2 linked regions of the Styela clava genome follow. The protein of the gene in region 1 binds, or shares a complex with, the protein of each later gene. Links are inferred from orthologs where the notes say so. Each region holds a gene or a part of one and is shown in the gene's direction. Other genes may lie near its edges. The genes, in order: glutamyl-tRNA(Gln) amidotransferase subunit B, mitochondrial-like; glutamyl-tRNA(Gln) amidotransferase subunit C, mitochondrial-like.

Evidence for each region.
Region 2: glutamyl-tRNA(Gln) amidotransferase subunit B, mitochondrial-like (region 1) and glutamyl-tRNA(Gln) amidotransferase subunit C, mitochondrial-like share a complex: the UniProt entries of both Drosophila melanogaster proteins name them as parts of the heterotrimeric GatCAB amidotransferase (AdT) complex. The link is inferred for Styela clava from reciprocal best matches to the Drosophila melanogaster genes GatB and GatC.

Annotation. Positions count from the first base shown.
Region 1 is NC_135262.1:19,544,440-19,557,109, forward strand, and holds the start of glutamyl-tRNA(Gln) amidotransferase subunit B, mitochondrial-like, read left to right. Parts: upstream 1-6,624; 5' UTR 6,625-6,718; exon of another isoform or gene 6,719-6,833; 5' UTR 6,834-6,865; coding exon 6,866-7,114; exon of another isoform or gene 7,115-7,142; intron 7,143-7,337; coding exon 7,338-7,451; intron 7,452-8,596; coding exon 8,597-8,801; intron 8,802-9,878; coding exon 9,879-10,001; intron 10,002-10,406; coding exon 10,407-10,520; intron 10,521-10,652; coding exon 10,653-10,737; intron 10,738-10,974; coding exon 10,975-11,094; intron 11,095-11,356; coding exon 11,357-11,474; intron 11,475-12,025; coding exon 12,026-12,159; intron 12,160-12,670. Other genes in the region: CD320 antigen-like, read right to left, coding at 1-24; kxDL motif-containing protein 1-like, read left to right, coding at 5,805-6,242. UniProt on the Drosophila melanogaster protein: Allows the formation of correctly charged Gln-tRNA(Gln) through the transamidation of misacylated Glu-tRNA(Gln) in the mitochondria. The reaction takes place in the presence of glutamine and ATP through an activated gamma-phospho-Glu-tRNA(Gln).
Region 2 is NC_135258.1:13,069,719-13,082,660, reverse strand, and holds glutamyl-tRNA(Gln) amidotransferase subunit C, mitochondrial-like, read left to right. Parts: upstream 1-7,082; 5' UTR 7,083-7,949; coding exon 7,950-8,468; 3' UTR 8,469-9,289; intron 9,290-9,587; 3' UTR 9,588-9,739; intron 9,740-10,053; exon of another isoform or gene 10,054-10,117; 3' UTR 10,118-11,269; downstream 11,270-12,942. Other genes in the region: thioredoxin reductase 1, cytoplasmic-like, read right to left, coding at 325-385, 1,292-1,390. UniProt on the Drosophila melanogaster protein: Allows the formation of correctly charged Gln-tRNA(Gln) through the transamidation of misacylated Glu-tRNA(Gln) in the mitochondria. The reaction takes place in the presence of glutamine and ATP through an activated gamma-phospho-Glu-tRNA(Gln).

The DNA of each region.
Region 1 (12,670 bases):
AGAAGAATTCGCTTTTATCTTCATTCTATTTTCTGTAATCAAAATCTACTATATGATAAAAACTAAAATTATTTGATAAAATAAAAACGCAGATTCGAATGTTTACTTGTTTGCCCCAAAATTACAAAAACCTGACAATTAAGACAAATAGGAATATAGTTAATATCGCATATAAACTTATAATGATATTTTGTAATTGGAACTAAATATCTATTACTCATTTTTACAATATCTTCTCTTGCTAATCTTTTGCTGCTTCATAATGTGTATAGTTTACACAAATTACATTACTGAAAGCCTGATATCACCACATAAATTTTCCGATTACAACTGCACTCCTGATTATATCATCAACAAAACTTTGGTACGATCGAAATTTTATAAAATTAAACAATTCAAGACAGTATTTATACCTCGTACACTGAAGTAAGAACTTTTTTTTTTCATTAAACTGCTCATCAAAATATATTGCAAAGCATTTCTTCTTATTTCGGATTATTGTTGGTTGAAAAATTTATAATAAAAAAACTTCTAAATTTAAAGATATTCATATCCCATATGTGCTGAGTACAATGTATATTATTATAAAACATCAAAGGACCAATTTGAGGTAATAACGAAAAAGAAAGTACATTTATTGAACTTAATGGCCAATTTTTCACGGGTCATAACTTCCAGCCTTTTTGTGCTTGAAACATCCTTATAGGGATACAGTGAATTGACACAAAAACAAATAATTCCATACAACAGGTTCCTTTTATGAGTTGTTTTTCTACAGACATTATATATCTTAATGAGATTTTAGACTTGAAAAAGCTGATGTAGATGTTAGGTTGAAAAACAAAATTACAGAAGCATTAACGGTATTTTCTAATCCTTTATTTCTGAGTTGATTATGGTGGAAAACAAAAATATTTACGAAACTACTGTGTCTAGTAAAGACAGCCAGGTAGTGCGCATTAGGGTTCATCTATCTAGAGCCAAAACCAACCCAGTTCAAAAATACAATCATGAATATCCATACAGAAATCCAGCCTAAAAAGGTCAGCAACATTTATACTTTCAATTTCAAACATTTGGGTAACAGTTTGTCACATTGCAAAACGATATGAATAATCTCAATTATATAACATGCCAAACAGGATAAATACTGAAATGATTATACTTAATTGAGAGAAATTTATGGTTGGCCAATTTTTAATCAAAAATAGATATCACGGAGCAGCACAATAACTTTGTAATAAAAATACCGTAACCTTTCTTTAGTTCATAAGCAGAATCTACAAAATTTCGGTTCATAGTTTATAGTGTAGAGTTAAAAACAAATGCTTTGACTAGTTATAAACCCTACTTTGTATAGATGAGAAGTAGCGGTTAATTAATCAAATAAAAAAAATCGGTAGGACCGATGCTTGCAAATTTATATGAACAAAGTTTTCTGAATTCAATAAATGGCGCTCCGGAAGTATCCGTACCAAGATGACGCACAACCTGAAGCCTAACCTGGTACACATGCTATGTTCAGACTGTGCGCCATCTTGATACACATGCTTCGGGAGCACCCAATATATATGCAATATACATGAGAGGCGGATCTGAATTTGCAGATAAATAATATTAAACTACACTCGACTCTGACCAAACTAATAATATCATAAAATGCGTTTTAATCTACACTTACCAGAAAATAGAACATGTATTGCAAAATCCACAGGCTCTTCACGATTATGTTACCAATCTAAATTCTGTTGCAGCAAACAGACACGCCGTTGGTTGCGATGCTCAAAGTCAGAGTCACTCATGACCATTCCACAGCCTAAACTGCTAAATGAATTTACGTTAGTATATTTGTTGAATTCCGGTACCAAGAGCGTTAAAAATGGACATTGAATTTGGGACGTTGTGATGAAAATGTGTTTATGAGTGATACCGAATATAATTGACACACAAGTTATCAAGAATGACGCTATACTGTGAGCACTTGCCGATATGTGAGCAATCAAGGTTTTCCTGGGGCAGTATCTTAACACCTTCAAATCGAAACAATTTGGAGGCAAATTCAAACACTTTTGTTCAGTGATATTTGATACTTTCTTTTTAATTTAGTAGTAATTAGATCAGTCAAAGGATCGTCGGTTCGAATGTGGAAGCCATGTTGGGGTTTAGTAATATTCAAATGTGCGGTGTAAAACATGCCGAAACCCATCTCTCCACATTAACAAAAATAACAAGAGAGCAATGCTCAAATATATGCACACAAAGATGAAAACGAAGTGGTTTCAAATCTTTTACAGTACCGGTAGTCTGGCCCCGAGATAACTGAGATATGATCACGGAACCACGACACCCTATTTTCAACTTTGATCACAAAAAACTTTGAAGTGAAAAATGAGTCCCATAGATTCCACGGATATTTTGGAAATAAATAAAAGTAATTGCCTTTTATCGAAAACAACAAGGTTTAACCACTGAACATTTCAAAGCAATTGATTGAGCAGTTAGACCGCTTCAAGAAAAAGGGGAATACAAACAACAAAACGACCCATAGTTCCATTTTGTGTTCAAAAACTGAATATTGTCATCAGAGAAATTTATCTGGCAGAGATAATATGACAAAGAGAAAGTTGCATCCCTAGTCGCTGTACAAAGGAACATAAAACAAAATGGCCTTTTTAATAGGGCCAGTATTTTATCAATTCTATTGTATGATTGTAGATGGACTTGATAGTGGAGAAATCTGTAACCGACCAACGAGCTTCGAACCTGCGAACCCACGCAGAGTAGTCAGAAGTGCGGTGCCGGTGGTGAGCGTATTCCTAACGCTTAGCACGATGAGCCACACCGCCGCGCCATACTTGTTATTAATGCCGGGTTTACCATAAAGCAAGGCAGGAGGAAGTATAGGGGCCTCCACATTCAACTTCGAGCCGTTATTCATTTTCAAATTTTTTCTTTAAAAATTTTTAATTTTTAAAGATTTGCTCAAGAATTTTACCGGATCAAAAAATCGACATTTTTATTCATTTATGTAATCGGATTATTAAATCTCGTCGCAAATAATTTCCGTTTACGAGGTTAAAAATTAAATAATGTCGAATATTTTATTTTTTTTAATTCAAAAGACTTCACCCTTTCAACTTAACAAAATACAATTTATATTAATTGAACAATTTTTGAATCTCTTAAAAGAGAGAGAGAGATTTTATTTTTTCGTCAACTAAAAAAAAACTAGCTTTGAGCTATGCTCAAATAGATGGACAGGTCACAGCAGATACCACAGTCTTCAACTATATTGACACCAAGCGAAGCAGTACTGCAGTAGTTTACCTTACTTTTAGCATTGTCGGTATGTTAGTCGTTGGTACCGGTAACCTCAAAAACTTTCGAGATTCGAGTAGCGAGAATTTTTGGAATCGGTCGTCACGTTTGGTGGATTAAAATCCGTGTTCCCATGATCAAAAAGTGATACAGCAAAATGGATGAAATATTAGATCTCATAGGATTCATAAAAATTTAGGACTAAATAAAAGTAATAGCCTTCTGGCAAAAAAAAACAATCTTTATACACTGAAAATTTCGAAGCAATTGGTCCAGTATTCCAAGAGAAAAGCGATTTCATCACAACGAGGAAGAAGAATATCAACAAAAGCAACAACATAATATTAAAACGATCTATAAGTCCACTGGCGTGTCCAATAATAACGAGGTTTGGCGTCAGATTTCCGTTTGGTGTTTCGGCTTTTTTTTGTGTCTAATCTAGTGTTCATTGGTAAAACCATATGTATAACCATATATTACTTTATTTAATGTGCAACAATAGCCTATCGCTTACTTCTACTTCTTGGCAAATGTTAATCTTAACCCCCAACTAACGACTAACATACCGAACTGACTACGCCCCCCAAAATTTACGTCGCAATACGAGACAAGCATAGTAGTAAATAACAAAAAAATGTAAACAAATATAATGGTAAGAATTATTGTTACAGTGAATGTACAATGAAAAGATGAAGTTCGACAGTCTAATGTTTCAGTATTTTCATTATCATAAAATAAGAATACAAGAGAGCTATGCTCAAATATATGGACACGTATAGTGCCATATAGTGACAAATTCTGAAGGCGTCATAGCACATAAAAACGATAAACAAAAGTAATGGACCTTTCCCCGATCTTTGACCCCCGAAAAGTTCTTCCATTCTTTACCATTACAAAATTTTCGGGGCTATTTCAAAAGTGCTTCTGCGAGTTGGCGGCTTGGCGCCTGTGAAATGGGTTATTCGTAAAATGAGGATTCATCGCATACAACAATCTGTTTCTAGGTTACGAACGCACTTTACGAACATATACAGATATAAAAAATAATACTGTATTGTAATATCTAAGCCTATAAACAGGATCATTGTGATCAAGAAAATCAGTGCTCTGGGCTCATTGGTTTTCGTTATTTACATCGTAAATGACGTGTCCAACTATTACGATTATGAAAGAATAATCACTAAGCTTCAGTCACATGGTACTGTACTGTACACAGTTTCAGTGATACTGTACGTCATTTTAATTGTTTAAGCCGGTTTTTTAGTAACTTGTTTGATCGTTTTTTTTTTACTTTTGCCCTTTGTTATGGACTCAAAGCAAAAAAAGATGTTACTGATGTTAGTGCATCAAGGTTTGCTTTTATTCACGTGATGTGGAATTGTTTTCTGTTTTTCTGATAAAGTTCTTATTTGCATTATTTGTACATTTTATTAGTGTACAGTACCATACTTTACAATACAGTACGATGTGTATAGAGCAATTCATGCACTGTAGGCTACTAGGGTACAGTATAACGCTCAGTATAATTTCTATACTAATTTTTTATTACTGCAATTAAATTAAAACGGATCTTACTACTTACTGAATACAGCGCGAAACACTGCAAAGAGCGCGAAACAGCGCAAAGCAGAGGAAAACAGCGCGAAACAGAAGGAAACCAGCGCAAAACAGAGGGAATCAGTGCTAAACAGGAGACGCAGTCATTACCACCTCCTGCCACGAAAGAACCACGGCGCCTCTCGCCATGGTTTTATGGCACTATTTCCGGTATATTTACAAGGTTATGTACCGGATTATAGGTCATCATGCGAAATTTTATCTAACTTTTTGGTGCTCCAGAAGTATGTGCAGCAATATGTCGCACAACCTGAATCCGCTACACACACACACACACATCTATTTTCAGGTTGTGCGCCATCTCTGATCTGGTGATAGATCAGTAGATATGACATTTGAATTAGACTATATAGTAATTATGGTCTTTCTGTGATGGTATTTCTGTATTTGCAGAATTGAATAAATTAAGATTATAGTTTATGCTATAGCCTACGATATGGATAACAAAGAAGCTGTCATGAACTCTTCAACACTAGATCAAAAGCTGCAAAATCTTATAAACAATGAGGATGTTGATGCAATTATAAAAGCTCAACAAACAACCTTGAGGAGACTTGAAAAATCTAATGCAATGCTAACAAACTGCAATACTCTTTCTTCACAACAACTTCTATTGATATGATATATCAGGTCAAAGGATAGATCTACGACTGTCAGAATGTAGAACAATTTGGCCTAAACACAACTTACAATATTAAAGTACTGTATAACAGGACTGGGAAAATAAAAGTAGTCTCTGATCTGGTGATAGATCAGTAGATATGACATTTGAATTAGACTATATAGTAATTATGGTCTTTCTGTGATGGTATTTCTGTATTTGCAGAATTGAATAAATTAAGATTATAGTTTATGCTATAGCCTACGATATGGATAACAAAGAAGCTGTCATGAACTCTTCAACACTAGATCAAAAGCTGCAAAATCTTATAAACAATGAGGATGTTGATGCAATTATAAAAGCTCAACAAACAACCTTGAGGAGACTTGAAAAATCTAATGCAATGCTAACAAACTGCAATACTCTTTCTTCACAACAACTTCTATTGGCAAGTGAAAAGTTCACTCGTCACACTGCGACATTGCAAGAAATGCGTAAAGATTTGCAGTCGATATTTACAAGAATAAGAACTCTTCGGGCAAAATTAAAGACACAGTACCCCGGTGAATTTTCTTTGGCTCTTGAAAATAATATGAAGAATGTTTCATTTCAAGAAAGTGGGGTTACCCCTGTAAAAGAAGAAAAACAAAACGAACTATATGAATCATCAATAAAAAGTCATTTTAGCCAGAAGCCTGACTTGTAATTTAATAATAAGTATTTTCATCTCTGTTTCATGGTTATAATTAAAGAACAACCTTTTGCTGAAGAGCTCTCCTTATCCATGGAAGCTAGCAAAACTAGGTTTGATTGGTTCTTGGCAAATGTAATATGATTATTTATAAATAGATATATGTTTTATTTACTATATACAATTATTTTGATGCTACTCCATTACTCATATTCATTCTGGGATACCATCTAGTATTTTCAAGAGGTGAAGAATTTCAAAATAGGAGAAGGAGGAATGTATCAAAAATTTGGGATATGGAGGAAGTTTTATAGAGCAGAAAGTTGTATTTAACAGCAGTTCATGATACACTCTGGTGGCAAAGAGTCCTCTGGAACATGTTATGTTCCAGAGGGGGGCATGGGGTTTAAACCCCAAACTTACTATCTATTTTGGTGTCTCTGATATCGGATTATGTTTTCATTGCATGTCACTTTGCTGCAAAAAACAAGGTTAGAACACTGCTTGGAACTTGGCGCAGCTGATAGTCTATTTGTTCTGCTATATCTATTGCTTTATGATCCAATATTATTACTGTGTGCAATAGTATTATATTTTATTTTTCAGGGCCTATATTTATATCTAATCCTTAGCTCAAAATGGGCATTGGTGGAAAATATAGATTGCTTCAAAAACCTATTTGGCATCATCTTAACAAGACATTTGTCACCCAAATAAAAAAGAAGCCATCACAACTTCACAATGTTTGGGAATCAGTAATTGGACTTGAAATTCATGCACAAATCAACACAAGATCTAAATTATTCTCAAGTGCAAGGAATCGTTTCATGGAGCCGCCAAATTTTCTTGTTTCAGATTTTGATGCTGCACTTCCTGGTACATTCCCAGTAAGAGTTTTATTATTTATCAAAAAAGGTGAAAATAACTGACTGATGCTATTGATTGCATTTTCTTTTCATAAAAACAATAACTAATTCCATATGCATTTTGTGATTGATAAGCTTACTGCAATGATATGCCTATGCTGATATTTAAGTTTACTCATTGCTTTTAATAATAACTCATCGTAATATTTTATAACACTCTTTTGTTAATTCTTATCGCCTGCAGGTTCTCAACAAGAATTGCGTAGAAGCTGCTGTTTTTACATCTCTTGCTTTGAATTGTAAAATCAACATGAAATCATATTTTGATCGAAAGCATTATTTTTATGCTGATTTACCGGTTGGTATATTTAATGAATACTTGTGGGTTTAGAAGCAAAGCATTGTAGCCTATTTTCATAATCAGTAGCTGAATTTTGACAGCAGTCTTTATTAACAGTTCTTTTAAATTTGATGCAAGAATCTGGAGTATTATCTTTATTTTGAGAGTATTTTGCGAGATGACATGTGCAAACTGCTTGTATCTTAGCTTAGTCTCACCCGTTTTCCAAACTGTTTTGATCACTTAATCTATCCTGATTCTCTGTGTATATTGTTATATAACAACTACATTGAATATTATACTATTGGAAACATTCCACTCTGAGTGATTTAAATTTTCTGCTTGCTTTTCAACTATATTGATATAATATGGATGGGGCAAGAGACTTATTTGAACTGTTGGCTAGCCATTTTAATTTCAGTATATATATTGGCCCCCCTTTTTTTTTGATTCTGTACGCATTGATTCAACTCTAAATTTTGTTTTTTTCTCTTGGGAATCTATCATTTACGTTTCGAAAATCGAAATTTATTCAAACCCAAGGTACTCTATACCTTTTTTAGTGTCAGAGCCAAATTTCAAACCTTATTAAAGTTGTAAAAACAACGCAAATTGAAACAGCTGCAAAACTAATTTCAAGTATGTGTTCTAAAATAACAACATCAACAAAACTCGTGACAACATCACCTAAACTTGATGTAAAAACCTATTTCAATTTGAAAATACTTCTTTTCCAATGTACGGAATAGCCTGCTTGGGATTACTGGAAACAAAGAAATCCGTGTACTGAAACACTATGACATCACAATAAAAAGTTGCACTCAAAATGACATCAATTCAACAACCTCACTCCAGTCTTTCATTTTCAAATAAATCACGGAAATTGAATAATTTTTGAAGAATACTTGAGAACCGCAGTTGAGAACAACTGATTTAAACGATTTGTTGATCTCAGATTCTCAAATTTAATTGTACGCAGGTAAAAAATGAACTGTCTGAACCCGTCACAAAAATACTTGGTGGGTCTCCTTGTGACCCATGTGGATCAGTGGTTTGTCATTCCTGTACTATGGCCTTATAATTGTGCCTCAGACAGGAATATTAGCATTTAGATGTTGGACAATAAATTATCACTTCTAAAGTTTGATTCATGTTTTGTTCAGCAAGGTTATCAAATAACACAGCAAAGAAAACCCATTGCAGTTGATGGTCATTTTCCAATACCAATTGAAGAAAGGCATCCAGAGGAAGGCTACATAATACGATGGAAAAATATTGGGATTGATCAAATACAACTTGAACAGGACAGTGGAAAGAGTCTACATGATGATGTTGAGAATAGCAGCCTCATTGATTTGAACAGAGCAGGTATGTGGATATGAATAGTCAACCTGATGTTCACTAGCTTATTGAACCATTGTTACCTAATCCAGTGGTCGGCAACCACCGGGCCGCGGCCCATCGCCGGTCCGCGGAAAGATTACTACCGGTCCGCAGAAAGATTACATAAAAACGGACAGCGTCCCCAAAACACCTCTACAGTCTAACAACAACGAATCCCTGCGATTAAAATTTCGAATGATAATAAGTTGAAAAGCGTATTTGCAATATGTATCTTGGTAGTCTTTTGGTTGATACTCTTAGATAAATACTCATACATTGCAAGAGAAGCTTCACAGACAGTGTTATCATTTTATGTGGGTCGCGTTTTCGATATTTACAATTACAACTACAAAAACGAAATACCGAAATCGGGTGGGCGTAAGAAACACGTTACGTGTATCACTGTCGACCATATCTCCAAATTGGGAACAGTTAATGGACGAACAAATACAGATCTCGCATTAATAACCTCACCGGTACACCTGTTTTTGGAGATAATTCCAACATAAATTTTCTAACGCGCATAATTTACTACATAAGCTTAGCTAGTTTGTATAAAGGTGGTCCGCCAAAATTTTGGTTAGGCTTTACCGGTCCGTCACCTAAAAAAGTTTGCCGACCACTGACCTAATCCATCTTAATCAATGTCTTATCTAGAACTTATCTATCTTTGAATCGCAGCTTTTGGTATGTTATTGAATATGGTATAGAATTCATCATGCCTCGTCAAATAAAACACACTAAAAAACAAATGAAAAGAAGAGATCATACCGCCAGAGAACACGCTGGTCGATATTCAAAAACAAGCTCTCGAAACACGAAAATCATTGCACGTTGTGTCGTTGCCGAAACTCAATAGGCATAACTCCTGTTACCAGATCTTTTCAGATGCAAATTGTCTGGATTCGATATTCTTAATTGCCTGCCTCATTTTAAGCCAATAAGCTTATATAAAAAGTTATATATATATAAGTTATATAAATTACCTCAACAATTGATTCAGTATAACTGACCTTTTTATTGATAGCTATTTTTATTGCATCTTTACATTTTTAAGAACAGGTGTTGGGTTGATGGAAATCGTTACTTCTCCAGATTTCTCCTCTTCTGAGGAAGCTGCTACATTTGTAACTGATCTTCAATTGACAATGATGCGACTCGGCACTTGTTGTGGGAAAGTAGACGGTAAATGAAAGTATATTTAATTTGGTATAATACATGAACATAAGCAATGTGCATTTTAGAGTTTATGACCCAAGATTTGCATTTTTATGGATTGCTATCTTTATCTTCATTTTTATTTGCTTTACCCACATTTACATCTAGATAATTATTTGTTTGGCATGGTAAAATATTTTTGCCTTAAAAAAAAGTCTGCATATTATTACCGATGGCGCTCAAATTTTATGTTATATTTATCACTATGTGTATTGTATGTTACAATGTCTCTATCGCAAAATATTACAAACATGCCCCATTTAAAAAAGGCATGAAAATGCTTTGTTGTTTCTTAAAATAAATTGTATCAATTCTGTTATTTGGTCTATATGCAAAAAATATTGTTTTATTTATGCATTTGCTGACTTTCAGAGGGCCAACTACGTGTGGATGCAAATATTTCAATTCGACGTCCAGGGGAACCACTTGGTGTTAGATCAGAAGTTAAAAATATTGCAGGAATCCGCGGACTTCAACAAGCAATTGGTATGTCTCAATTAAATAGTATTTTCATTTGAATGCAGAAAGGTAATTTATAATAATTTTGGGTAACATAAGGCACTTCTGCAAAGTTTCATTTTATTTTTGTGTACTGTGTTTATTTACAAATCTTTTCAGAATTTGAAATATCAAGACAAAGAATATTACTCGAAAGTGGGCAGAGAGTTGTCAACGAAACAAGAGATTTCAACGCAGAGAAAGGGTGTGTTAAGATATTATTTATAGCTAGCCAGTCTTTCTGCCATTTTTATAGATTTTGTATAAATTGTCTTGAGCCTTTTGATAATTTTTTATGCAAGTGCAACTCTTGTAAATACAATAAAGTCAATTGTCCTGTAACTCTATTGACAATATTTTGAAACAGTATTACTACAGGATTTTAATGCCTCATACTGGATGCTAGAACAGCTTAGTGAGAACGAATTTTTCTTTTTATCAGAATAACAATTTCCATGAGAGACAAAGGAGAATTTCAAGATTATAGATTCATGCCTGAACCAAATTTACCGCCCCTCATTTTGTATAGTGATGAAACATTGCCACCTTCATTCGATTCCAGGTATGCCAATGTTAATTTCTGTGTATTGATGACTGTTGCTATAAGCATTTTCAGGTACAATATTGCTGTGATTGTTTTTTTTTTGTAAATGGTTTGAACTAATTATTCTTTGAGTCAAATAGGGGTTTCGTTTCAGATAGCCACAGGCCACACTTGAAAGAATAACACATTTCAGTATTTATATATAATTCTTTGCTCCCTGTCTTTCATAATGGAGTCATTGAACTTGTTTGAAAAAATTGACATAAAAAATATTTTTCAGTTGTGACATAAATATTGATGACATCAGAAGACGACTTCCTCATCCTATGCCTGTAGATATCAGAAGACAGCTTGTTGAAAAATATGATTTATCACTGTCAGACTCTACATTTCTTATGGTTAGTGGATTGGATTTACATATTTATACCGGGCAGAGTAAAGTCAATAAGACAACTTAATCCCCTCGACTGGTTACCAGTCCATGTTGGGTATGGGATCAGTTATTTGTTTTCAGATGCATAGACTTGATGGTGGAGGAAGCCATAAGCGGTGACGACGGCGAGTCCAGCAATCCTCTCGCACATAATTGGATAATTAGCATAATTAACATAAACTGGATAATTAGATTAAATCATTCGGAAGCGTCGAAGAACGCTTTGTGTCATCATTACTACCATAGCGGGGAAGGTAGCACGACGATTTCTTCACCTCACCGAATGTAGTATGAAATAAAATAGTGTTATTTTGCGTCTTTGATCATTAGTGCAAATATCGTGCAATCAATGCGTAAGTGACAAAATACTGAAGAAAATGCTTAGTACAGCAACAAATCGGTCCAAATCAAAAAGTGATTGTGGGCTTTGTGGCCTAACAAATTGATTTGTGAGCAAGTAGCATTCTTGTATTGTGAAAATGTTGATATTAAAATTATACAAAATCTCATTTTCAGGAAAATGGCATCGGTGAATATTTTGTTGACATCTTGGTTGCTGCTCCTAACCTTACCCATCTTACTGCATTTGATTTTGTCCGATCTCAATTATTAGGTGTGATGTATGCAACAAATAGGAGAACGAAGGAGTGGTAGGTATACTGTTAACTTCAGACTCAATACTGTATAATCCGTATTACAGTAACTGTTGGGCTGAGGAGTCGAAGTTTTGCATGTTCTTGATTGAGTCACAACAAAGTTTTATTCTCAAAATCCCTGTCTTTGTCAATATTCTGAATTTACTGGAGGGATAGTCTGATGTAAATTTTCTCAGACTCTACAGCAGACATGGGCAAACTACGGCCTGCGGGCCAAATCCGACCCGTTGGGTAAATCAATCTGGCTCGCCTGATGATGCCACAACCAAAGTAAAACCAAATTTTGATGTTTTAGCTAAAAAATAGCTCAAGGAATTTGTTGGAATTGTGATTGTATTCAGTTTTGGCTCGAAGATTATTGTTTTCCACTTTTGCTTTTGTAACACTGTAAATATTGTTCATAAAATGTGACATTTTTTTGTCACACTTAGATCGTCCGCCCGCTGGGGGGCTAAATTTTGACCCCTGATTCAAAAACCTTGTCCATTTCTGCTCTACAGCCTTG
Region 2 (12,942 bases), on another chromosome or scaffold:
TTATTAGTGTTTACAAACTTTAAACGACATGTAACCAAATAAACGTCTGAAGGTGATTCATACAACAAATTTGTTAATTATATCAGATTTAACAGTCCACCTAATATTATTGTGTATAATATAAAATTGTTGCAAATTCACAATTTTCAAGGTAATTTTTTTAAATAGGCCTACTATTGATGATAAACTTTATTTTAATTGCTGTCAAATGGTTCGTTCGAGAGCGAACAAGAGTGAAAATTCTTATGGTGTATCAGTCAAAATTTTGTCAGTCATTTTTTAATTGACAGTAAATCCTGCAGATGGAGTATAATAGGCATTTACCTTCAAGATCCAGTTCTAAAGCATGAAAACTAATTCCCAACGAATTGAATAATTTCTTTATCTAAAGGTATAAATAATAATTTAAAATAAATAAAATATACAAAATCAATATGGATAAAAAGAATTCAAAAAATTGGTTTTATATTATTGTAAAAAACGAGACAAGATTTGATCTCTAACAAAATTATTTTCAATTTTGTAGTACAAAAATAAACATTATTAATCAATAACCATAACCTACGATAATGAAATTTATATTCGAGATGTATTAAAAACACAAATATCGTTAGTAAAACTATAAGCATTTAACAGTAATAAAGCTGATTCTCTTCAGTGCTTTCCAGACTAGTAGCTATGATATGTAAAGATTTAAAAAAAAAAGAGAAATACATAGCTCATACACATCTTAAAAACGTTCCAAGATAGACCGATACCGTAATACTCAATCGGGTCTCATGTAGTTTCGTACCTAACATACTTCTAGTGAGCGAAGCGTAACAATTTTTTGATATATCAATCCTAACCCCCATCTGACTACGCCATCCAAAAATTAAAACACTGCGACATCACAATCACGTTATAGAGCTTGCCAAATATACGCACGATCGACCGAAGTGGCATTGGCGCCGACGATAAGGAACTGACTGACGATACCGATCTCTCTCCCATTGGAATCGTTGCGACGAGAAAACGAGAGAAATAACTGTTTGATTTCGGGTGCTCGTTTGCACGTCTTGGATGGCAGTTCGTATAGTTTGAAGGGCTCTATTACGTCACTGTGACGTCGTAATGACGTAATTTTTGGAAGGTGTAGTCAGGTGGGGGTTAGGATGGATACGTGAAAAAATTGTCATGCTACGCCCACTAAAAGTATGTTAGGTACGAAACTACATGAGACCCACTCAATCTTTATTAGCAATGCTTTTGAAAAAATAGCTTATTACAGTATTAAAATACACAAACTGACCTCTTTACAATAAGGACAGTACGATTTGCTAAATAGCATAACCACATTCTCTTTAATTAGCTTTTGAACTCTTTCCTGCACATCTGGTATAGGAGCCATGTTCTCTGGCTCAACTTTAGTGACTTTGGCAGCCGGTTCTTTTTGTTCAGAATCCAGATTCAGAGATTAGAATTGAAATTAACAATAATTACAGAATACTGAATAGGGTACGACTGAAAAGTGAATGAAAAAGATGAACATACAGACATAAGTACGGAAAGTGATATGAAAACAATATGATATTTGGGCACAGGTAAATACTCTTAACAATCTGACAATGCAATCACAGAATGGCTCTAGTTTATATGCTGTATATGTGAAGCATATTTGATTGTCTAATTAGCTGGACTACCGGCACAGAACTACTGAACTAGTACCTGGATATCCAACTCTATAATAATAATAATATATAATAATAAGTTTATTTCGACTCCATAATCAGCATAACAATAAAATGATTGGTAAAAAAAAATAAATAAAAACTGATTATGAAATCAGGAGAGCAAACAAAACCTTAGAAAAGGTTCAAAACGTACAGAATGTATAAAAGATGGAAGGTTTTGCCAAGAAGAAGTGGTACGTGTTCACTCACCTAAAATAATGGAAATAATTCGCACACGCTCACACAACCATACAGAAGTTATAAATTACATACGGGTAGTTAAAAAAAAATGAATGAATAAAAATTACTTGCCACACCATATTAATAAATTTATAACGTTTGCCACTGCCGAATTGATAGATTTTATCTACTCTCTCTACTTACTGACATTAAACACAGAAACAACAGCAATGCTTACTAGACTTATTGCAGTATTGGGACTACCAGACTACCGCAATCTTGATGTCCTGAAGTCTGCCAGTACGGTAGTGATTAAATGAGCACGCCTGTACAAAATAGCAAAACGTGATACTAAATGACGACGCTACATGCAGACATACCGGTAGAAAGTTAACCAGATTACGAACAAACGAACAAACACTCTTGAATATAAAGTTAAGCTCGAAGCTTAAATCCATAGAGAAGTGCACACAGACAGTGACTAAGCAAACAAACCAACTCCCAGACCGAATACTTGACTGACACTTGATGATACATGACTGAATACTTGACGATACATCACGTTGGCGCGTAAATATGGAGAAATAGAAATTACCAATCGCCAGAAACATTCTCTGCAGGAATCAAGTCAGCATTTCTTTTGTGATTATTATCCTCACGTAGGGTGGTTTTTCGCGCCAGCCGCCCAGACAGTTTAGGATAGGGATAGATGTTCCCAATTCTTATTTTTCCTAATCTTTGCCATTTAAAGTTTATTTGCGAAGATTATCATAGGCCGCGAGACGAGGCCGTTCATCTTTCAGTTTCGTAGCGCACATAAGGGAACTACCTGAAAATGATTTCAAAATGCTCAAAATAAATTTAGTAACAAATAATACTTTGTTCCCATTTCCAAAAGTTGCACGTTTTACGAAAAAGACGCTTTCACTACAAGAAATATGTGTTACCATAACATAATATCCTACTATTCTCTGATTTTCTGGTAACAGTGGTCGTCAATGAAGGCAGACTTCTGCAACACGTAACAATTAAAATTTGATCAGCTGTAGGTAGATTCCCGTGGTCGGGTGAATCTCGTATGTACTGCTCGCTTTCACGTTGAGTTGAGTAGCCTTTCCATCGTCTTTTTCAGTTATTATTAGTTAAGTCATTCTAAGAAGGTGTTAAAAATATGAGTAAGCTATTAAACACTTGTAAATTCTTACCATGAATAGAAGGTTAGACCTAGAAAGATATGTCACAAACAACGATATTTTCATTCATGTATGGGAAGTTTATAATTAATTTAATGACGATTCTTGACTATTCAGCAAACTTATACTACTATATAGAACACAGCATACTTGATACATTTAGGCCGTTTGTGTGAAAGAGGGAAAGTAACCAATTTTACTGATGTCAGTTGGTCCAAATAGAGTCGACAAGAACAAGGGCAGCAATGAAAGGTTATTTAGGAGTTGAAAGAAATGTAGCCTTGGAAGCGATTGAGAGGTGAGAAATCAAGTTGTAGACCGACAGTTAATGTTTTAAAATATAGAGGGCATTTAAGACTGTGTGATTTATAGAGATTCAGTGTAGATGTAGTCTAGTTATGTATTAGAAATATTAGTCAGTATGTAGTGGTGTTTTCATTTATCGTACACTCATGTTGTTCCTATATGATTTTCTCCCTCCTTTTAGATACTGTACTACAGTAGAAATTAATGTTATGGTAATGTTCCACCTAACGCAGATTACCATTGCTGTTGCATTTTTTTCTCGGATATCTTTTAGTGTCGAAGGTACTGTTTCTATAAATAATGTTGCCTTTGTTTCAAATACACAACCACATAATTTGAAAAAAGACCAATTGTAATAATTCTGTTACCTATGTTATGTACATACTGTTTTTATTTAATTTCTTGACTTTTCCGTGTAAATTTCTCAGTGCGGAATACCCGATTTATTAGTGTTTTTGTGCTCACAATGTTGATTTGTAAAAAACTTGCATTGCATAAAATTGATGCATTTTGATACTGTTAACAAGCGTCAGTGGTTAAATGTTCAAGAAGCATTTCGTCGTAACTCCAATAGGGTTCAAATATATTAAATTCAATTTTTTACTTCTATATCAAAATTTATTGGTAAAAAGTATTACAGAATTGAAAGTGAGAACTTGTGGCTGCTTGTTATTTACAAGAATCGAGATCCGTGGGGTCAAGTCACTAATATTGATCCTCATTTCTACACTATCGTCCAAATGCATGTTTCTTACTAATTCAAGCACTAATCTAGCAGGTGCTCTTTCGTTTATTTCAGTTTATCCAACAGCATATGAAAGGAGCAGCAATTTTAATGAAATGTACTTATTTAATATAATTAGCACTTTATCTGAGTATCCCTGGGGTCTACCTGGAACACGTTGGGAAGCCCTGCTCCAGAAGTATCTATCAATTTTATTCTGTAGTGTGAATGAAATCTTCAAGCATGTGTAAAGTTTATTAACCATGAAACTTATTTGAATCAGAAGTCCATGACCGTGGCCAAAAATGTCTGAGTTGATCGATTTATATCTGAATTTAAGAAACATAAATAAAATGTTAAGTGTTAATTAACTTTTGAACCAATAAAAATGAAAAACAAAATATGGTAAAAGTATGAAACAAATTTTCTAACACAGTGTAAATTTTAAATACAAATGCATTCTGGCCGTTGACACCAAGTCTGTCCAATGCCAATATTACTAAGAAATGTATAGCAGCATGTTGCCTGTTTGCTGGTAAAGGTTTCAACAGTAAAACACATAATAATATTGGCACAGAGAGACTCGGAAACCATCTGAGGAATCCACCAATAATAAATACACTTATTTCGAAATTTAGTTTTAGGTTGGATGATTGTTTGTTTTTTATTTTTTTTCGTGGAGTGGATTTCATTGATTGGCATTGGATCATTAAATTTGGATGCATGATTTTGTAAAGTATTTGAAGTTGACAGTTCTTTCTCACTCGTCAAATTACTTGAGTTCGATTTGATTCTCCTGAGCTGGCTCAGAGCTTGGTCTAAGTAATTCTCTCATTCGCTCTTCTGATTTCAATAAAGTTTCCTTTTCTTCTCCGTATTTCCGCTTTTGTGCGCTGCCGTTTATCATCCATTTTTGGTCTTTAAATATTGTGCTAAATTCTGAAATTATCGGGTTGGATTTATTGTGGTCGAGATTCCGTCTCTCTCTGGTCAGGAGTAATGCTACCGATCCCTGGTTCGTCTCTGATTTATTCTTTTCGAACTTTACTCTTGCCCAGTGTGGCATATACCTCCATCCTTAAGATCTTCTATTTTGTAAATAACCCGGACAATATCACAATAAAGATTCAGAACCTTCTGTCTATGGATAAACTGTTTCAGAATCGGAGTTTGTTCAGAAATCTTAGATGCTATTCAAAAACTAATCTGCAAAAACAGACCACTGGCGGGACTGCAAATCAAGTCATGTTGACAAGGCGCAACGTACGATGATTTGAATGGAATATTCCGCTATGAAAAAAGGGTTTATGTGTAAAGTTGGTTTTGGGCAATTTTTGACTTAACTAGATTTATTTTTCTTAACTAGATTTTCTTTATTCGATTTGATAATGTTTTTGTTGATTGAAACGATTCAAGTTTATTATTATTTTATTCACCAAAATCTGTATGGTTCACATTTTTGCTGAAAAGCCATATTCTATCAAAGACTCTACTATCACCCTTGAGTGAAACGTACTATATATGCACCACACATTTACCTTTCATACTTTGCCCATTCATATTATATGGTCTCACCACTCAAAGGTATAAGTTTATTTCGACTCCATATTCAGCAATAGACGATAATGATAGATAAAAACAAGAATAAAAGTAACTGATTATAGAATCGGGAAAGCGAACAAAACCTCGAGTAAGGTTCGAAACGTAGAGATTTTAGATGGAAAGGTATTGATAAAAGAAGTAGTACGTGTTCGCTCAGGTGCTGTATTTACGTCTAAATTTTGATTTCATCGTTATGCATATGTGTATTTGGTGTTGTCTCTATTCATATATGTTGTCTTGTCTTATAAACTCCTCTGTATAAACAGTTTTGTATATTCCTCCCTTACCACTTTCACCACACCAACCCATCACCCCACTTTGCACAACTGTCTATATAAGTGACCATATTATACATATTTAATCTAATGTTTTTTGTTTTATATTTGTCAAAAGGAGTGCATGCCGCACATTTGTGTTTTAGGCCAGTAGGTCTTGTGCATGCATCCCGTCCTAAATAATAATAATTGTCAATTTATTTATTTGTCACTATGGACCTCTCCCCGAGCATCTAATTCCTCGTTTACTTCGTGACATTGGACAATCAGCAAGATGCAGAAAGTGACGTAACAGTGCTCCCTTTTCGCATCCGCTCAGACAATTTTCTCACTCAGACAGATTTTCAAGCGTGGTCGTAAACATTATCTCGTTTTTGAACTCTATTCGTTAGTTTTCTGTTGTGTTTCGGAAACTTAAATATAAATCGAATAATTCAATGATCACTCTGTCTTCCTAGGAGTTTTAATTTAATTGCAGTAATAAAAAATTTGTGTAGAAATAGCTGTGATAGTCTAGGCTAAAATTCTTTACCGGTACTTTTGAAAAAATAGATTGTTGTATGCGATAAATTATAATAATGTTTTGAAACACATACTCCATTTTACTGGGCCAACTTGCAAAAACACTCTTAAAATAGCCCCGAAATATTTGCAATGGTAAAGTATAAAAATAATTTTTCGGGGGCCAAAGGTCGGGAAAGGTCCATAAGAGACGAATAAAAATACATCCATCCATACATATGCGGCGCCCGAGAGCTGCATGATAGCCATTTTTCACATGAACCCTTTCCATTCCCATTTGTTTGTCTTTTATTATTTCGAACTCGAGAGCAAATCCTCAGACCGTGAATCAGTGGTGAAGTTTAGGTTGTGCACGTTTAATCAGAGGATGTGAGTAAAAGGAAAAGGGTGCTAGTTTCCCAGCTTTAGCTATGGTAAATATCCCAAATCTGTTGTGTCTGCTTAGACAACATGTTAATTAAGCTTAGATAAGTACTGAAGTACCGGGGGTCTCATGTAGTTTCGTACCTAACATACGGTACTTCTAATGGGCGTAACATGACTTTTTTTTCACGTACCGGTATCAATCCTAACCCCCACCTGACTACACCATCCAAAAATTACGCCATTACGTCACAGTGACGTAATAGAACCCTTCAAACTATACGAACTGCCATCCAAGACGCGCAAACGAGCACTCGAAATCGAACAGTTATTTCTCTCGTTTTCTCAACGTCAGTCAGTTCTTTAACGTCGGCGCAAATGCCATTTCGGTCAATCGTGCGTATATTTGGCCAAAGTGACTAGGATAAGATAGGATTTACATATTTATCCCGGGGGAGAGGAAAGCCGATAAGACCGCTTATCCATATGGCGAACCACGGCCTCTCGTCCGGTTACCATTCCAAGTCGGGTATGGGATTAGTTATATTGTTTGTTTTCGGAAGCATGGACTTGATGGTGGAGGAAGCCGTAATCGACCAGCGGTTACGTAAACCACCCAACGACGGCGAGGAGTCCGGCAATCCTCTCGCACATAACCATCCCTGCATGGGATTCGAACCTGTGAACCCACGCAGAGTAATTAGAGGTGCGGTGGCGAGCGTAATCCTAACGCTTAGCCCGTTGAGCCACATCGCCGTGCCAAGTGACTATAAAGTCACTTTGGTGTGGGCTGGGGTACGGTAACTGTGAATTGTGTTTCCAGGATAATCGTTTTCAGTTTAATATTAAATTCTATAGTCTTGGGAGAAATAGAATGCCCAGATAAATATGTGTCTGCACATATCACTTAATTGCATTTCAATGTGATTATCAGTGTCAAATGTCAATGTATTGTGATTTTTTGTACAATATCGTGTGGAGTTGCCTTTTTAGTAAGTTATCTAAATTCAGAATTTCATTGCCACTATGTTCAGATGTAACTTCCATAGTGCTCATCAGGTAGTGTACTTTTATGTTTTTACCAGAGTTGCAGATAGAACCTGAAATGCTTACAAAAAAATCTCTTAGTGCACTAAAAAGGATCTATTCCAACACAAAAATTTGTACTTCGAAAAGAAATGTTTTAAAAAAAGCTTCTGATTTAATCCCTAAGGAACCTGTTTGGAAACATATTGAAGAAGTTGATCTTCCACCACCTACAAAAATTTCATTATCAAAAGCAAGACATTTGGAACAACTATCATTGGTAAATTTTGAGGACACAAATGCTGTGAAAAGACTGGAGAGTGCGATACGTTTCGCAGACCAGATATTGCATGTTGACACTGATGGAGTTGAGCCTTTGGTATCTGTTTTGGAAAATGTGCCTCTCCCAATGAGAGATGATGAACCTCAGGAAACAAAAGGAGATGTATTAAAATTACCGCAAGAAGTATTTGAGGGCTATTATATTGCTCCAGTTGGAAATAAAGTTTATGAGGGCGAAACCTTTTTTGACATTGATAATGAAAAAGATGACAAATTAAGCTGATATTGTTACAATTACTGGTACTAAGTCTCTTCTTTTAACATGAATCATTTATTGTCAAGTAGGATGCAGATTGATTTGAAATCCTATGTCAGCTTCTGAGGTTGGACGAGCTGAATAGAAAAATAAGTTTGAACACTTCGATTGAAACAAATAAATCGAGTACTTTAGTAGCGAATATTAGTATAAACAAATTGCACATATGTCAGCATTTCTAGAAAACGAATACCCCAAGTTAAAGAATGCTGAAAATCTGAATGCGTTACAAGAGTCAGTGTCAGAGTCAATGTCAGTACAGGAATTTATTTATTCATCAATGGTGTCATAAATTTTATTCTTAATCGTTAAAATAATTCACAAGCTAAATGAATATGTCAATGTCAACCTCTGACCATCCTCACTGGTGACTAAGATCAGCTCGAATTTTCAATAAAGTGCCATGTCTTCTCTTTTCTCCATTAAAATAATTCTCTCATCATTAAAATTTACATTTATTTATAGTTTAGGTTACAAATTTACAATAGGGTATAAACTCAAAACTTTATATAGCATGCTGCAAGATTTTCTTCTTTTTGCTGGGCTCACAATATCAAGTGCTTTGATTGTTGTCGTATTTATTTTCATATTGTGGGTGATTGTTTACAAACTTTTCCTGAAGAGGTTTAAATTTATTCAAGCAATAACTGATGGAAAACAGGAGGAGACAGCTAATAAAGCTTCCGAAGAGAAACTAAATTATAGAGCAAGACTAAGAGCTCGTCGATCAACGAAAGAGACTTGACCAGGTGTTTACGCAGTATTTTATTTCTCCACAGCTTGTTGGGGTTGGTGTTTAATAGCAAATTTGAGATTATTAGATTGGACTATTGAGGCTCTAAGAAGGGTTTCTCTTAGAGTAGCGTTTCTCCTACACAACCTGTTGCCTACTTTTCTCCTGACTATCTGGAGACCAATTCCGCTTTTGACCTGCTGGATAACATTTTTTTTATTACATTACCATCGTTCATAATTTTTATGATGTAAATTTGGTATACCCTTATTGATATACCCAAACTTTTTGAGCACTAAACCTGAAAATCACCAATCATTTATATTTACTTTAATTCAACACCACTTTTTTAGGACATTATATACAAGAAATTACATGTTGGAAACATTCCACCCAAGATGCTGTCGATCTTCTTCAACAATTTGGAACACCAGTGGAACATACTTGCAATGAAAATTTTGTTTTAAAATGTTTAATAGGTCACGAAAATCTTTGATGAATTCAGGTACCATTTTAGCGAGTATTACGATTTTTCCCTAGTAAAAATAATATAAAAGAAGGTAATTTTGTAACATTGCATATGCCGATTCCCAACAAGCTATTTTGGAATTCATTCAGCAAGTCTTTAAGCTTTGGTTCACTGATTGATCAGCTCGTGACTTGGGTGATTTGAGTTTTATTGTCTAATAATTTCACTCGAAACTTTAACCTATTTGTAATATGTGATGCTATGCCACAAACATGGAAGTTTACAATGGCCATTCCATTAAAACATATTCTAAACTTATGTCATCTAATGTTGAAAACATTTTTATGCAGGTTCCAGAAATTATTAAACGATATGCTACTCAATGTTAATACCACATTGTTTAATATTTTTCAGTAAAGAAATCACACATTGGACACCTGCCATTCACAGAAATCACATTGTCTTTGTTGATATTGAATATTTTTATTAGTGCTTGCTAAAAAGTTTCAAATTTACCTACTTGAGATTAGCTTTTCAAATATGTTAGAGTTGTTACTTGGTCTTAGAACTGTTTATGATATTTTTAAAGATTTTATTGTGACATAATATGAGCACTTTTCAGCTGCAATTTATAGGATCTTTGTTTTATTCATGCTCTATTCAATATTTGCAATACTTAATTGCTCTTTATTTCATGGTTGAAATGCATGTATCGAATCTGCACCATATATTTGCTAGATACTCGTTTTTTAAATTGCCAATTGTGGGATATATCTGAAATGATTAGCCAATACATTTTCATATTATTTTCAAGTATTATTTCTTTGAAATACTTTGTAATGAGCTCCTAAAAAAATTATACCATTTCAAATGAAGTCGAGATTGATGTTAGCATTTTTAAAAGACTCTATACATATCATAGATTGTTTTTTTCATGCATGCCACTTGGTATAGACACTGCCTGATTGACATTTTTATATACTTTTCCATACATACACTCCAAATTGTTGGTGATCGCAATTTAATTGAAAATTTCTTTATGTACCTCAAAAAGGCTATGAAACTTATTGTATATTCAGTTCTGGATTGTTATTTCCAATTTAGGTTGTTTTGTTCATTTGCTCGCTCTATGTAGGTATAATTTCTCTAGGTCTAGATATTTAAAAACATTTCAATTAGTAATGAACCATCCACTTACCATGCTGAAGTATATAATAAAATTGTCTTCACTACAGCTTTTCACATGCCCATTTGAAGGAAAACACTTATTAATCACTTCTCAGTAAGATGACCTTGAACCTAATATTCTAATTAAATATTTACCTTAACACTTGTACTGTTTTAAGTAAAGAAATGTATATAGCATTACTGGTGCAATGAACTGTCTGTCTCCTGCTATTCAAGAAGTCATCCATGATTGTATATATTTTCAAATTCGTCATTTATCTCAAGTATTCATATTTTGACAATATATTTATAAGACTGTGCGTGGACTGTTGTCGGTTATATATATATTCGTTATTTTTACCATTGTCGACCCAAATATATATTGTACTCATTCCCTTATTGTTTGTAACATGTTGTTATCTCCAGTGAAAGCTTTTTGTGATGCGATCTCACCTTTATGCAGTGGATGTGAAAGTTGATCGACTTCGACTGTTAGGAGCAGTGTTGCGATCCCGGGGTTATTTTGAATATAATTAAAGCGTACTCCTAGCGCTTATCGTGATGCACAAATGTATCATGATGCACAAATGTCATTTTGCAACTTTAGCTGAGAGATCGCGAAAATCAGTTATTTATACCACGATATTATTATTTGAGCATGGTGTTTTGGCATGCGGTTCCAAATTACCACACACATTCCACCACTGGTCAAATGCGATTGTAATTTAACTGTGGGTCGATATGGATTAATTCCGTCGTCGTGCAATGCCACTAATAAAATTGTTGGTAGTTGTTAGGAAACAATTTATTATCCAAGAATAATCATTCCGCTATGTTATACTGTAATTTTTTTTAGATCCGAGAGGTCGTGGGCCGGTGTTGATCAGCAGATTGTCTGGTGGAAAATATGAAAATTCATATTTAGTAGATGATGTCCGCAGCCTTGATATACAAACTTTTAGACAAAAGAAAATGTGGGGTCGATGCCGTCGGGGATTTAGCGAGAGTTCGTGGCGTCCTTGAGTCTCTTGTCAAAGGAGTTATAACTTGTCCAATTGAGACTGCTACCTGTAACTGCAAATTTTTTGTGGGGATGTACGTCATTTAGTGACAAATAACGTCCTCTCCTCCCGCTCACCAGGTTATGTGTAGGATTACCTAATCAGTTTTGTTCTAGATAAGTGCTCTTCAACAGGGGTTCCGCGGAATCCTTGGGTTCCGCAGCACATACAGTGGAGTTCCGTGAGTTTATAGGGCTCTTTAGGGGTTCTGGATAAAGGAAAAATTGATGACTGCTGGGCCAGTAAAGTTGCAAAAAATGATTATGCTTCTTTTCCGTTTTTGGATGAATTTCTAAGCGCGCAATAGCAAGAAGGACTCCTAGATATCCGTAATGATATTAATTTGGAGGAAACCTTCGAAAAACACGGAAGGGGGTAATATTTCTGGATTTCTTTCCACAAAGGGGGTACAGCAATTGCAAAAGAAGCATTAAAACTTTTGTGTCAATTTCCCAATACCTATTTGTGTAAATCAGCATTTTCTGCTTTAACAACTATTAAAAACAGAAAAGAAGTTGTTTAAGAGTGTAGACATGAGTATGAGAGTTGCTTTGTGCGCCGTGGGGCCATGATTCAAAATGATTGCAAAGGAAATGCAAGAACAACCTAGTCATTGAATTTCACGCTTGTTACCTTCGCATACAAATTCGCGTCAGCTCATTGAGTAGATATCCTATTGGAAACAATTGGTGTAAATTATAAACAAACTATGTACCAGTTTGGCCCTTGTTGATGATAGACAGCTACACCAATTGAGCGACTAACACTATTATTTTTTACGAGCGAATAAACTTAGACTTAGTCTAAAAGCAGTTGGTATTTATTAATTCACTTTCTCAAGCCATTACGATTAAAATCGACAAATTTTTTAATTTTAAAAAATATATATAACAAGAGTCCATTTCAATGTTAAAATTTTATAAAAAATTCAGTGGTTCTTGTATTTACGCAAGTTTGGGTAAAGTTGTGTACGTTAAGATCTGGCAACACTGAAAAGCCTGAAACAAAGCC